3 linked regions of the Xenopus tropicalis genome follow. Each later gene encodes a partner of the first gene's protein in a complex. Links are inferred from orthologs where the notes say so. Each region holds a gene or a part of one and is shown in the gene's direction. Other genes may lie near its edges. The genes, in order: efcab2, ccdc153 and fbxl13.

Region 1 (3,756 bases):
CCAAGTCTGCAAGCCAGTTAGTGTAAGACCTAAGATCTAAGGGTAAGGCCTAGATCTTCCTCAGTTAAGTGACAATTTATTTCCTGGATACTCATGGCTGATACAGCAGTGTCTTCATATATCTGTACATATATAGGTGTCATTACATATAGCAAGAAATGTAAGAATTCATAAGCTGGGCTTTTAATTACAGTTTACATCTTCATAACATAGACATCAAAGTACCTTCAGCATGTTTTTTAACGTGACCCTGACAACTGATATTAGTAGTACGCACTATAAACTGACTATATTCTGTGTTAACCAGTTTCCAGTGCCATCGCTGTTAGCTCTAGGCCCATATCATACAAACCATTTTGCTACACAGGGGACATGCTGATTTAGCTGCCCCATGTGTAATCCGCCTGTTACTGCACACTAGCCAGATTTTGCCAGAGAACGTTTATTATGATTATAATAGTTATGCATTTTAGCTGAACTCTGCACGTATGTGGAATGACCAAGCTTTTTAAACAAGATGCTTCTGGCATAGGAAGCAAGATTTGTCTTGCTTTAAATGTACAATATAATAATTGAATTTCATACTGGTGACCTTGCAGCCTACCCCTGAAGCTGACAGAGTGGAATGCTGGAACTACTGACCCAGCAGAGTTGTCTTCACTTCAGCCTTTACTACTTTGATAACTTCTCTTAGTATTAATTATATAACATGTAACATATGTAATATCCCTCATACGTAATAAAAGTTACAAGTATGCCAGGGTGAAGAAAGCCATATTTTGCGTTAAAAAAAAGTGACCAGCAAATGCTACTTGCTGATTGGTTGCATTAGGTAACAAGTCATGTACAGAATTTTGCACCTTTTATAACACAATCCTCAGAGTTTTTACTGACGCACCACGTCTTTATTAGTGAGTGCTGTTTACATATCTTCAACCGGTCTATCCCTTAACCAAGCGCCTCCTGTCCCTTTCCCCAAGTCCCTTCTTACTATTACGTACATTTAAGACTTTCCGCTCAGACATTGTTACTCTTCACTCCTCTGTAGCTGTATTTTCCAAATGGCGCAGATCAATGACGTCACGCTCCAGCCGCTCGCAGGAACAAGCAGCTAGGAAGTGTTTTATATTCACGCACGTCATCTCAGCGCCACCAGGTGGTCAAATGACTTGGGTTGTGCAGTCACCTAGCAACCAGATACAAAAATGACTGATGAGAAGGAGGCCGCTGGTAAGTTAATGCTCCATAACAAAATGTAAAAAACAGATAAAAATAGCGAGACGAGGAGAGGGAAGGAGAAGGGGAAATTAACAGAGACTTGGTCTGAACCCTGTTAGAAAATCAATAGAAACGAGTAAAGTACATTCTACAAATAATCGCCTGTTCATCTTTATGGGTGACTAAAATACTGGGTGCATTTTAGATAGAGTATCAATTAACCTATTGGTACAATTTGGAATAGAATTTTAGTATTGATATACTGCAGGCAGCAGAATGTGCTATAATCCTAGGCAGGGCTGCCATCAGAACTCACAGGCCCCATACAACACAATTAGCAGGATCTGTTGTCCAGCCAGTGGGCATCTAAGCTTTTGTTCGATCAGTACATCAGACCTAGTGAAGTGAAGGGGGGGAATCAAAGGCAAGGGATTATATTTATGTTAAACAAAAAAAAAACCTGTATGGATTTTTTTAATAAATTTATATTAAAAAATATTGTCTTTTTCATAAAGAACCTGGCACCATAAGGGCTCTTAGATTTTTCACTTTACTTCCCCTTAAAAAATGTACTGCAATTCCCATTCTCTGATAACGTAAGGGGGCCGTGCAGGTGTAGGTATGTAGGTGTGTACCTAAGGATATCCTAAAATTGTACTGATCACACCAGTCACATCCCTGTTACTAGGATTGGCTTCTGTGCAAGATAGTTATAATCAAAACTTTGGAATTTAGCACCCATTACTATTATACCTCATCTCAATACTGTTGGCTAAAAACAAACCCTGAAATGTAAGCAAGAGACAATGAGCTACTATAAGTTGCTGTAATGAAGTAAGTTATTCTGATCAGTGCAAGATATAGGAAAACTGTAAAAGTAATAAATGCAAAAAAAAGCACCAAATTACATTTTTAATGTGTGTTAAAAAAGCTAGTAGCTTATGTTCTGTTTTCTATCCATTATAGTCAGTGCCAAAGCCAATTAATCCATTTCCTTAATTCAAGCGTTTAGGTTATGGTGTGAACAGACATACTGTATATGAGCAACAGAGAATACCACCGTACAGGGCAGCCTTGAGGGCAAATAGTTGTCCTGGTGTTTTTTATGGTCATAGGAGCGCAGGCCACGCTGCACTTGGATTACCAGGGCCCCCTGCAGTCAGTGACCAGCAGCCTTCAGAACACAGGACTAGCGCTCCAGTGCCAGCTTCTTATTATCTCATACAGCTTTCTGTAAGCTCATTTGCCAATAAAGTTTAAGTCCCGGAAAAGGTGCATGGTGATTGAATGGGCTGGAAGGGACCCATCCAATCCCCATGCAGAATTACCAGGATTTAGAGTTCTGTGGTAAATGAGCAGTAAAGGAGATACAGGCACCCAGGTTCCTGTCCTTTGCTACCCGATTCTGCAGCTCTCACAGCAGCACGGCCGGGCCCCCCTTAAACCTCAAAACCCACCGGGCCCAGGACTGTCCTCCCTGGCGGCGGCCCTGGTTCTAAGGCTGTTTCAGCGCAATCTGAGAATAGGCAATGCACCACCATTCTCTTTCTGAACCTGTGTGTGCACTGACAGGCATGTGACATATAAATATATGTATTTTCATGCCAAAATCTTTGTGTGTGCTAAAGAGGTGATCCGTTGCACTTGAAGTGGTGACAGATGGTTCTCCACACAGATGGAGCTCAAATAGTCATATTAGTAATGGAAACAGTGTATAACTGTAAAGCATGTCACTATGCCTGCTAATCCATTAATGCATCTAATTATTTTCTTACACATATTTTTTCAGAATCTCTAGTGACAGATTTACAGAAAAAAATTACAGAAGCCTTTGAGGTTTTTGACCATGAATGTAACAAAACTGTTGATGTCAGGTAAACATAACATTTTCCCTGTAGTTTTTTTTTGTAGAATGCTGGGTAAACAGGAGAAAGACAGCTGTACAAGCTTTCAGTTCCTAAAGCTGCCATTTTTATTATTTAATGCAATCTCAAAAGTGTGTGTGCTTTGGTAATCATTTTCTTTGTATTGTGTAAAAAAAAACAACACACTAAACAAGCAAAACCTTACTTTGTCAAGAGTTCTCATTAAAAAAAGTATACAATATGCACATTATTTATTTTATTTATTATTTTTTAAAGCTATTAGACTAATTAAGATTTTTTTTACATTAACAGGATATAAAAGCTAACCCTAACCCTGTTTTATTTTAAAGTTTCATGCATTAACTGTGCTACTTTTGTAACAGAGAGATTGGAACAATCATAAGGTCTTTAGAATGTTGCCCAACAGAAGGCGAACTCCATGATATGATTGCAGAGGTAAGGTTTTAAAAACAAGTTAAAGAGTACAGAACTATATGCACTTATTGTGCCCATATCAATAAAAACTGAAAAATTGCAGCTGTAAAAGTAAAAATATTTTTATATTTATTCTGACCTATTATTGCCTAAGAAGAGATAAAACCTTTGTATGTCTTATCTTGCTGTGTAAAATAACTCCCACGTTTAAGATGTAGCTGAGAAAGTTTTTGCCTGT
Region 2 (3,756 bases), on another chromosome or scaffold:
GTTACACCTGTTTTTTTGCACACATGTAAGCAGTCTTATACTGAAGGTTCTGTAAAATTCATTGTAAGGTTGAAGACACTCAGAGCGCCTAGTATCAGCTACTTGACATGGCTACAGGAATAACCAATACTGATCATTTACTGATAATTGTCTCTAAGGGACACATTTACTAATCCACAAATCCGAATCCCGAATGGGAAAAAATCGAATTGGAAATGAAAATCTTGCAACTTTTTCATCGCCATCGCGTTTTTTTTTCGTATTTTGCGTGATTTTTTCGTCGCCGTCACGGCTATCATATTTTGTGCGACTTTTTAGTCGCCATCGCGGTTTTTTTGTATTGAGCAATACGTATTGAACCAATCCGATTTTTTCGCGACGGCGACGAAATAGTCACGACAATTTGTGAAAAAGTTGTGACGGCGACGAAAAAGTCTTGACAATTCGCAGAAAATACCGATCATTACGGAAAAACGCATTCGGACGTTCGTGGATTAGTAAATGTGCCCCTAAGTGTGGTTTAGCAGAGGCAATTCTCAGTATTGTCTTTGGCAGGGTATTTTCTGGGGTTTAGTAGCCGTCACAAGTAGCTGCTACTAAATAGCTCCACGTGTCTTTACCCAGAGAGGATCTAAACCCAAAAACATTTAGCATAATTTAAGAAGATTTAATTTAAAGCAATTTTACATTATACATTACATTTCAAATGTTCAGCGGTCTTAGGGCTCTGGCACATGGGGAGATTAGTCGCCCTAATCTCCCCGTGTGCCAGAACCCTTAAAGTTATTTGTAAATGTCATTGCTACTGAAAATGATATTTCTACTATAAATACCTTATACACACATAATGGAAAGCTGGGAGTGTAGGATAGCATAGAGATGTTTTTTATTTCATTATACAAAAAACATTTTACGGGTATAGATTACCTTTAAGTTCAGACTCTGAATCTTTAATATGTTTTGTTTTGTTCTTTTTATTAAGGTGATTTGCATTAACAAATTTCTTGTTTTTGTCTCTTCTCAGAGATTTACCGGTACCTTGTTGTTATACATCTTTTGTTACCATTACAGAAACCTAGCAACCTTTTGTATACAATTCTCTCTGAATCGGCTGGGCAAGGTTTGTGGGCAGGATCTTAAAGTGTCTTCCTGCTGGGTAAGCATTTCTCAGTGAATATCACTTTGTTGTTCTGCTGAACAGGATTCATTGCAGGTAAGGGCCACTTGCTGATATTTGCTGTTTAAAATACAGTATGTTATAGAGTTGCGTATTTGGAAAGGCAGCATGTGGAAAAGGAAGATGGCATCGTTATCATGGGCAGCCCCTGCAGTTGCTATGTCTCCACTATCCTCAGGCTCTTCAGTGTTGCTCTAGGCCTGACTGGATACCTGCATCTAATGAGAGACAGAATCAGAAAATAATCAGTTTGCAACGAAAGGTAATCAGATATAGGATATCTTATGATAAGCATACAGAGCAGGGTTGAATGGCTCCTAACTATGCAATGCTGCAAAACTACTTTGCAATGGATTGAAATGTAAGAGGTCATTTACAACCTTAAGTTCAGCGTGCAGTTTTTGATGCAAATCACCATGTTTTTTAATTCAAACTTAATTGTGGGCACACAGCAACTTGCACATGCTGTGTCAAAACAAACAGAATTGAGCAGTGCAGCTAACATTTTTTAAGAGTTAGGATTGCATCACTTCCGAGAGTCAGCATTAAAATTACGTTAGTGTTTAGTTCTTTTGTCACAATTCTATTGCACTTTGGTTCATCACAATAAGCAGGATGAGGAATGACACAGTGGTGCTTGGCGCAACTATACAGAAGTTGAGGAGGTGTTACTTTTAGGACTTCTTTACATGTTACATCAACACACAAAACTAATTTCTAGGGATGCACCAAATCCAGGATTCAGTTAGGGATTCAGCCAAGATTCGGCCAAATCCACACTCCTGGCTGAACCGAATCCAAATGTTTTCTAATATAAACCTGCCGTGGTAAATCACAAGCTGAAGAGCATGCTGTTCTTTGAGTGCCAACTATTATACTGGCATATACATTTTTGTTCCTAGAGCATTGCACTTTTGTTCATAAATGAGCACTAGATTGGTGTCCAAACTATTTTTATTAATACAATGCAACATTTTTCACTGTCTGATTTTTACTATAATATTGCTTAACACACACACACACATATATATAGTGAATAATGTACCCTCTTTTTTAAAATATAAGGATAGCCATTCCACAGAGGAGTTTCGTGACCATGAGTTCTTATATCCTCTTATTTTACAACAGTGGATACATTTAGTTATTATAAATACACAAGTTTCAGTGAGCCATGTGTCAGAAATTACATCATTAAGCATCGTTATAACTGATGCCATCACTAAGCATAATTTTTAAGGATATAATTATATGATATTCATGGCACTTCTGTGTTATACATATAGGGGCTGATTTACTAAGACACGATTTCGAATCCAAATTGGAAAAATTCCGATTGGAAATGAACATTTTTTTTGCGACTTTTTCGGTAATTTTGTGATTTTTTCGTATTTTTTTCGATTTTTTCAGCGTCTTTACGATTTTTGCGTAAAAACGCGAGTTTTTCGTAGCCATTACGAAAGTTGCGCAAAGTCGCGCCTTTTTCGTAGCGTTAAAACTTAAAAGGCGCGACGTTTCGCGCAAGTTTTAACGCTACGAAAAAATCGCGACTTTGTGCAACTTTCGTAATGGCTAAGAAAAACTCGCGTTTTTACGAAAAAATCGTAAAATACGAAAAAATCGCAAAATTACCGATCATTACGAAAAAAACGCAATCGGACGCATTCGGCCCGTTCGTGGGTTAGTAAATGTGCCCCATAGTATATATAAACACAAACATATATATATATAGTGTACTTATGTCTTGCACAAAAAAATCAATTATAATTATTATAGTCCAGTGAAATTCTTTGCATTTAAGTATTGTTGTGCTGTAGGGTTGCCACCAGCCCTGTATTTCAAGGATTCAGATTCAGTTAAAAACCGGGTACAAATCCTCTAAACTGCATCCAGTGGACACAAGTTTCCATGGGTCCTTTTGCCATAAGGCAAGGTGAGAAGTCTCTCCTTTTCCAGGGGTGGCAAAAAATACTCCTGTAATTTTACATGGAGAATTCCCAATAGCTTTCTCCATTTACATGCAACTGCAATCTCCGCTGACCAATACCCAGTCTGAGAGAAGAAAATGTATGTACAGGTGATGGAAACATAAGGGGTTGGAAGCATCAGATCTGCCTTCTTGGACAGCAAAGAGCCTTGATGTGCACCCGCAGATTTCCCAGTGTGTGGAGCTCAAGGCAATATTCTCCAATATTCTGTGTGATCTGTTGTACTAATTTACTGGACAGTTTGTAAACATTAATCTAGTCATCTAAATTATAAATGATTTAGCAATAATATGGAACAAGTAGCACATCTGTCATCATCTTGAATTATATTTAGTACCATGGCCTTAAGCTATTTCAGTTAATTTTGTTAAGGTGGTCATACATGTTAAGATTTGTTTGCTATTTATATAGTCTTCATTCATAGGTGTATAGTTATGTTAGGTGGGGTCCTTCCCTACTAGTCTCACTAGTGTTCCTGTGCTAAGGGTAAGAGAACATGGTTTTACAATAAAATAAGGCAGTGAAGAACTCACATATAATGAGGGGCCTTAGTGTGACAAGTAAACTTAAATATTTTGGGGGATGTGTGGTGCT
Region 3 (3,656 bases), on another chromosome or scaffold:
TCGAAATGTCATATAAATCTGCAAACTTAGGAAAGCTTTACAGCTTGGTGCTTTGAAGCAAGAAGAAATGTTTACCCATTATAGATTCGGGGGAATGTGTACTTTCCAAAAATATATGACTTTCTGGGGTGAGCGTACTTTTTACTAGCTTTATCCCACATATAATGATGTAAATGTGTTGATTTTGCAGGAGCTGAAATGACAGAAATGACAGTACATATGGGGGTATGTTCCCATTGGGGCCCCTACATGCCACATACTTAGGTAAACCTATACATATTGGGCATCAAACTGTTCAGTGGACCCCTGGTGTTCAAATTCAGGGTGTTTTATCTTGGTAACTAATGCTATGTGGGAGATAAGATGCTGCAAAGTGGAAGCTTTGAGGGGATTTTTGGAAATGTCATCAAAATTGCTAACTTTAGAAAAGCTGTGCGGCTTGGTACTTTGGAGTAGAAAGACATGGTTACCCATTTTAGATTCGGGGGAATGTGTACTTTCCAAAAATATATGACTTTCTGGGGTGAGCGTACTTTTTACTAGCTTTATCCCACATATAATGATGTAAATGTGTTGATTTTGCAGGAGCTGAAATGACAGAAATGACAGTACATATGGGGTATGTTCACATTGGGGCCCCTACATGCCACATACTTAAGTAAACCTATACATATTGGGCATCAAACTGTTCAGTGGACCCCTGGCGTTCATATTTAGGGTGTTTTATTTGGTTACTTTATGACCTGTAGGAGATAAGATACTATAGACTGGAAGCTTTGAAGCGATTTTTTAAAAAAATCACAAATTCTGATAAAAACCAATAACTTTAGGAAAGCATTGTGCCTATTCTGTATTCCCCAGAATCTGTTCTTTCCAAAAATGTACAATTTTCTGGGATAAACCTTCTGTTAGTGGAATTTTTGGCCTTGAAATCTAAAGTATGCAGCTTTCTGGAGTAGTGCTTTGGAAATTTGGTAGTGTACTGCTGGGAGTTTTTGACCTATACAAGTGAGAAATCTCCATAAAACTATATATATTTGGTATTGGCACGTTCAGGAGACATGGGACTTTCCAAATCAGTTGTATATTCGTGCATAAAATAATTTTTGTTTCTAGTATGTGTGATTATATTATGGAAAATTTGATTTTTTTTTGCATTTTTAGACATTTAGAAGCCTATATCTTGTTACAGAATTGGAATTACACAAAAATTCTACCATATTTTGAAAGCTTAGGTTGTTCTGAAAAAAACGATATATTGTTTTCCTGGGTAAACTAAAAGTCCCCCCGAGGAAAGGCCCCTAAAGTGAAACAGTGCAAAATGTTCAAAAACTGTCTGGCAATACAAGTTCCGCTTTGACCAAAATGGCTGGCAGTAAAAGGGTTAAAGGACATGGAAAGGCAAAGTAACTTGGGGGTACCAAAATGTTAGGCACCCCCAAGTGACTTTAATCGCCTATCTTTTACCCCGGGCTGGTGCCCCTGTTGGGAGAGAACAGCACCAGCCCGGGGTAGTTGCAGCGCTTCCTTCTTCCTGGTTCGCGAGCGCGTGCATGCGCAGTACAGTGAAAAGCCGAACTTTAACAGAGAAGTCGGAAGGGAGGAGGAAGCGCATCGCTCCAGGTACCCCGGGCTGGTGCTGTTTTCTCCTAACAGGAGCACCAGCCCGGGGTACAAGGTAAACGATTAAAGTCACTTGGGGGTGCCTAACATTTTGGCACCCCCAAGTGACTTTGCCTTTCCTTGTCCTTTAAAGAAAATAAGAGTTCAGAATTTTTGCTTTTTCCCCTGTTCTCATCAACCGACTGACTCCCCTGTGATAACAAGGGTCCCACCTTTTCTTGCTTCATTTATTTTACTATTTACTTATTTAAAAAATAATTCTGGATTCATTTTACTCCTGCTGCAATAACCATTCCCATCTCATTGCTTGTTTTTTTACATGCTTTATTGGCTTCCTTGTGCTTGATGAAAGTGCAGCTAACTTGAATTTTGAACATTTTTTCTTACCAACCTTGACACTAACACTTTTATCAACCCATAAAGGTTTTGCTTTGCAATGTCTCTCCTTGCTTACAAGGGGATGATAATGACATATATACTTACACAACATTTTTAAGATATATAATTTTCCTTCTGTGTTTAACCCTGTGAAAATCCTTTCCCAGTTAATATGTTGCAGATATACCCTTATACTGAGAAATATTGCACATCTAAAATTTTAGTCACTCCCTTATAGAGCTGTCTTTGCAACATAATCTCGAAGGAGACCATGTTATGACCACTTTTCTCTAAATGCTTACCCACATAAATGCTAGAGATAAGTTCTGCTTTATTAGTTATTACCAGGTCCAAAAGAGAATATTTTCTAGTAGGTTCTTGAACTGCCTTAAATAAAAAGTTGTAATTTAGCATGTTTACAAACCTGCTAACTTTTTCTGCTTGGCCACCCCATTACTTCAGTCAATCTCTGGATAATTAAAGTCGCCCATAATAACAACTTGACTAGTTGTGAGTCCTCCTAAATTTATTATAGCAGCTGGGCTTCATTCTCCTCATTTATACGGAGAGGTTTAAACCATACACCAATGATAAGTTTCTTTGTAACCTTAAGCCCTGCTGAAAAATCTACCCAAAGGGATTTAACACCCTCCCCACTGCTGTTCCTGGTAAATGTTTTAGCGCAAGGCTTTAATTCTGGTTTTACATACAGACAAACTCCTCTACCATCTCTAATCCCTATATCCTTCATAAATAGGGTGTAACCATTTAAATTCACAGCCCAGTCACAAATTTCATCCCACCAGGTCTCAGTGATACCAATTATATCATAATTTTCAGAACATGCAATAAGCTCTCCTAATTTACCTGACAAGCTCTCCTACCAAGAAGAACATAAATTGCCAGTAGGAAAACATATGCGTTGTTTTGGCTTTCGCAAGGAAACTTCAGGCAACTTTGGAAATCTGAGGCAAAACATATGTATTTTCTACCGCCAATTTACATTATTGCCAATATGAAAGCATTAGAAGAGATTAGTCACCACCAATAGAGGAAATTATTTACGGGGCGACAAATCTCGTGTGTCACAGTTTTTAAGATCTCAAGAACTGGTTTTAGTAATTTATTTTGCCAGATTAAGCATTCAATGTCATTAATTATCCAACAGGGATGCATTTATAGAAGAAGCAAAAAAACCTAAATTTAAGGCAATGACAGGAAGCTATCTAGAATATCTTTTTGGAAGAGATGAAGATCAACTGGTAAGTAACAGGCGGCCCTGTATGTCTTACATCTTAGTTTCAACTTCTCTTTATTTTCACTAGAGGGTGCAGTCACATTTTAGTTTTGTGTCTCAAATTTATATAGCAATCAAGCATTTAAAGCATATAAACTGGAAGATTTCCATTTCTTAATTTTCCTATATTTTATATTGCAGGTGTCTTCAGAATTACTCAAGAAAGCTTACTCATTTTATATCAACAATCTGCAGAAGCTGTATTTTAAGTAAGTATTGTACTGCTTGACAAGCTTGATGAATTACAAAGTACCTTAAGAAATGTTTATTGCTAGCTCTGTATAAGTGTCATTTATTTATAGTGCTGTGATCTGAATTAAAAGCATCAACACCACTGCACATTTATGCCTTTTTGGAT

Evidence for each region.
Region 2: efcab2 (region 1) and ccdc153 share a complex: the UniProt entries of both Homo sapiens proteins name them as parts of the nexin-dynein regulatory complex. The link is inferred for Xenopus tropicalis from reciprocal best matches to the Homo sapiens genes DRC8 and DRC12.
Region 3: efcab2 (region 1) and fbxl13 share a complex: the UniProt entries of both Homo sapiens proteins name them as parts of the nexin-dynein regulatory complex. The link is inferred for Xenopus tropicalis from reciprocal best matches to the Homo sapiens genes DRC8 and FBXL13.

What each region holds. Positions count from the first base shown.
Region 1 is NC_030681.2:51,986,914-51,990,669, reverse strand, and holds the start of efcab2 (dynein regulatory complex protein 8), read left to right. Parts: upstream 1-1,147; 5' UTR 1,148-1,205; coding exon 1,206-1,230; intron 1,231-3,007; coding exon 3,008-3,092; intron 3,093-3,466; coding exon 3,467-3,539; intron 3,540-3,756. Other genes in the region: splicing factor YJU2, read right to left, coding at 1,002-1,025. UniProt on the Homo sapiens protein: Component of the nexin-dynein regulatory complex (N-DRC), a key regulator of ciliary/flagellar motility which maintains the alignment and integrity of the distal axoneme and regulates microtubule sliding in motile axonemes.
Region 2 is NC_030683.2:80,326,670-80,330,425, forward strand, and holds the start of ccdc153 (coiled-coil domain-containing protein 153), read left to right. Parts: upstream 1-1,024; 5' UTR 1,025-1,213; intron 1,214-1,263; exon of another isoform or gene 1,264-1,439; intron 1,440-3,756. UniProt on the Homo sapiens protein: Component of the nexin-dynein regulatory complex (N-DRC), a key regulator of ciliary/flagellar motility which maintains the alignment and integrity of the distal axoneme and regulates microtubule sliding in motile axonemes.
Region 3 is NC_030679.2:77,930,439-77,934,094, forward strand, and holds part of fbxl13 (dynein regulatory complex subunit 6), read left to right. Parts: intron 1-3,169; coding exon 3,170-3,263; intron 3,264-3,439; coding exon 3,440-3,507; intron 3,508-3,656. UniProt on the Homo sapiens protein: Substrate-recognition component of the SCF (SKP1-CUL1-F-box protein)-type E3 ubiquitin ligase complex.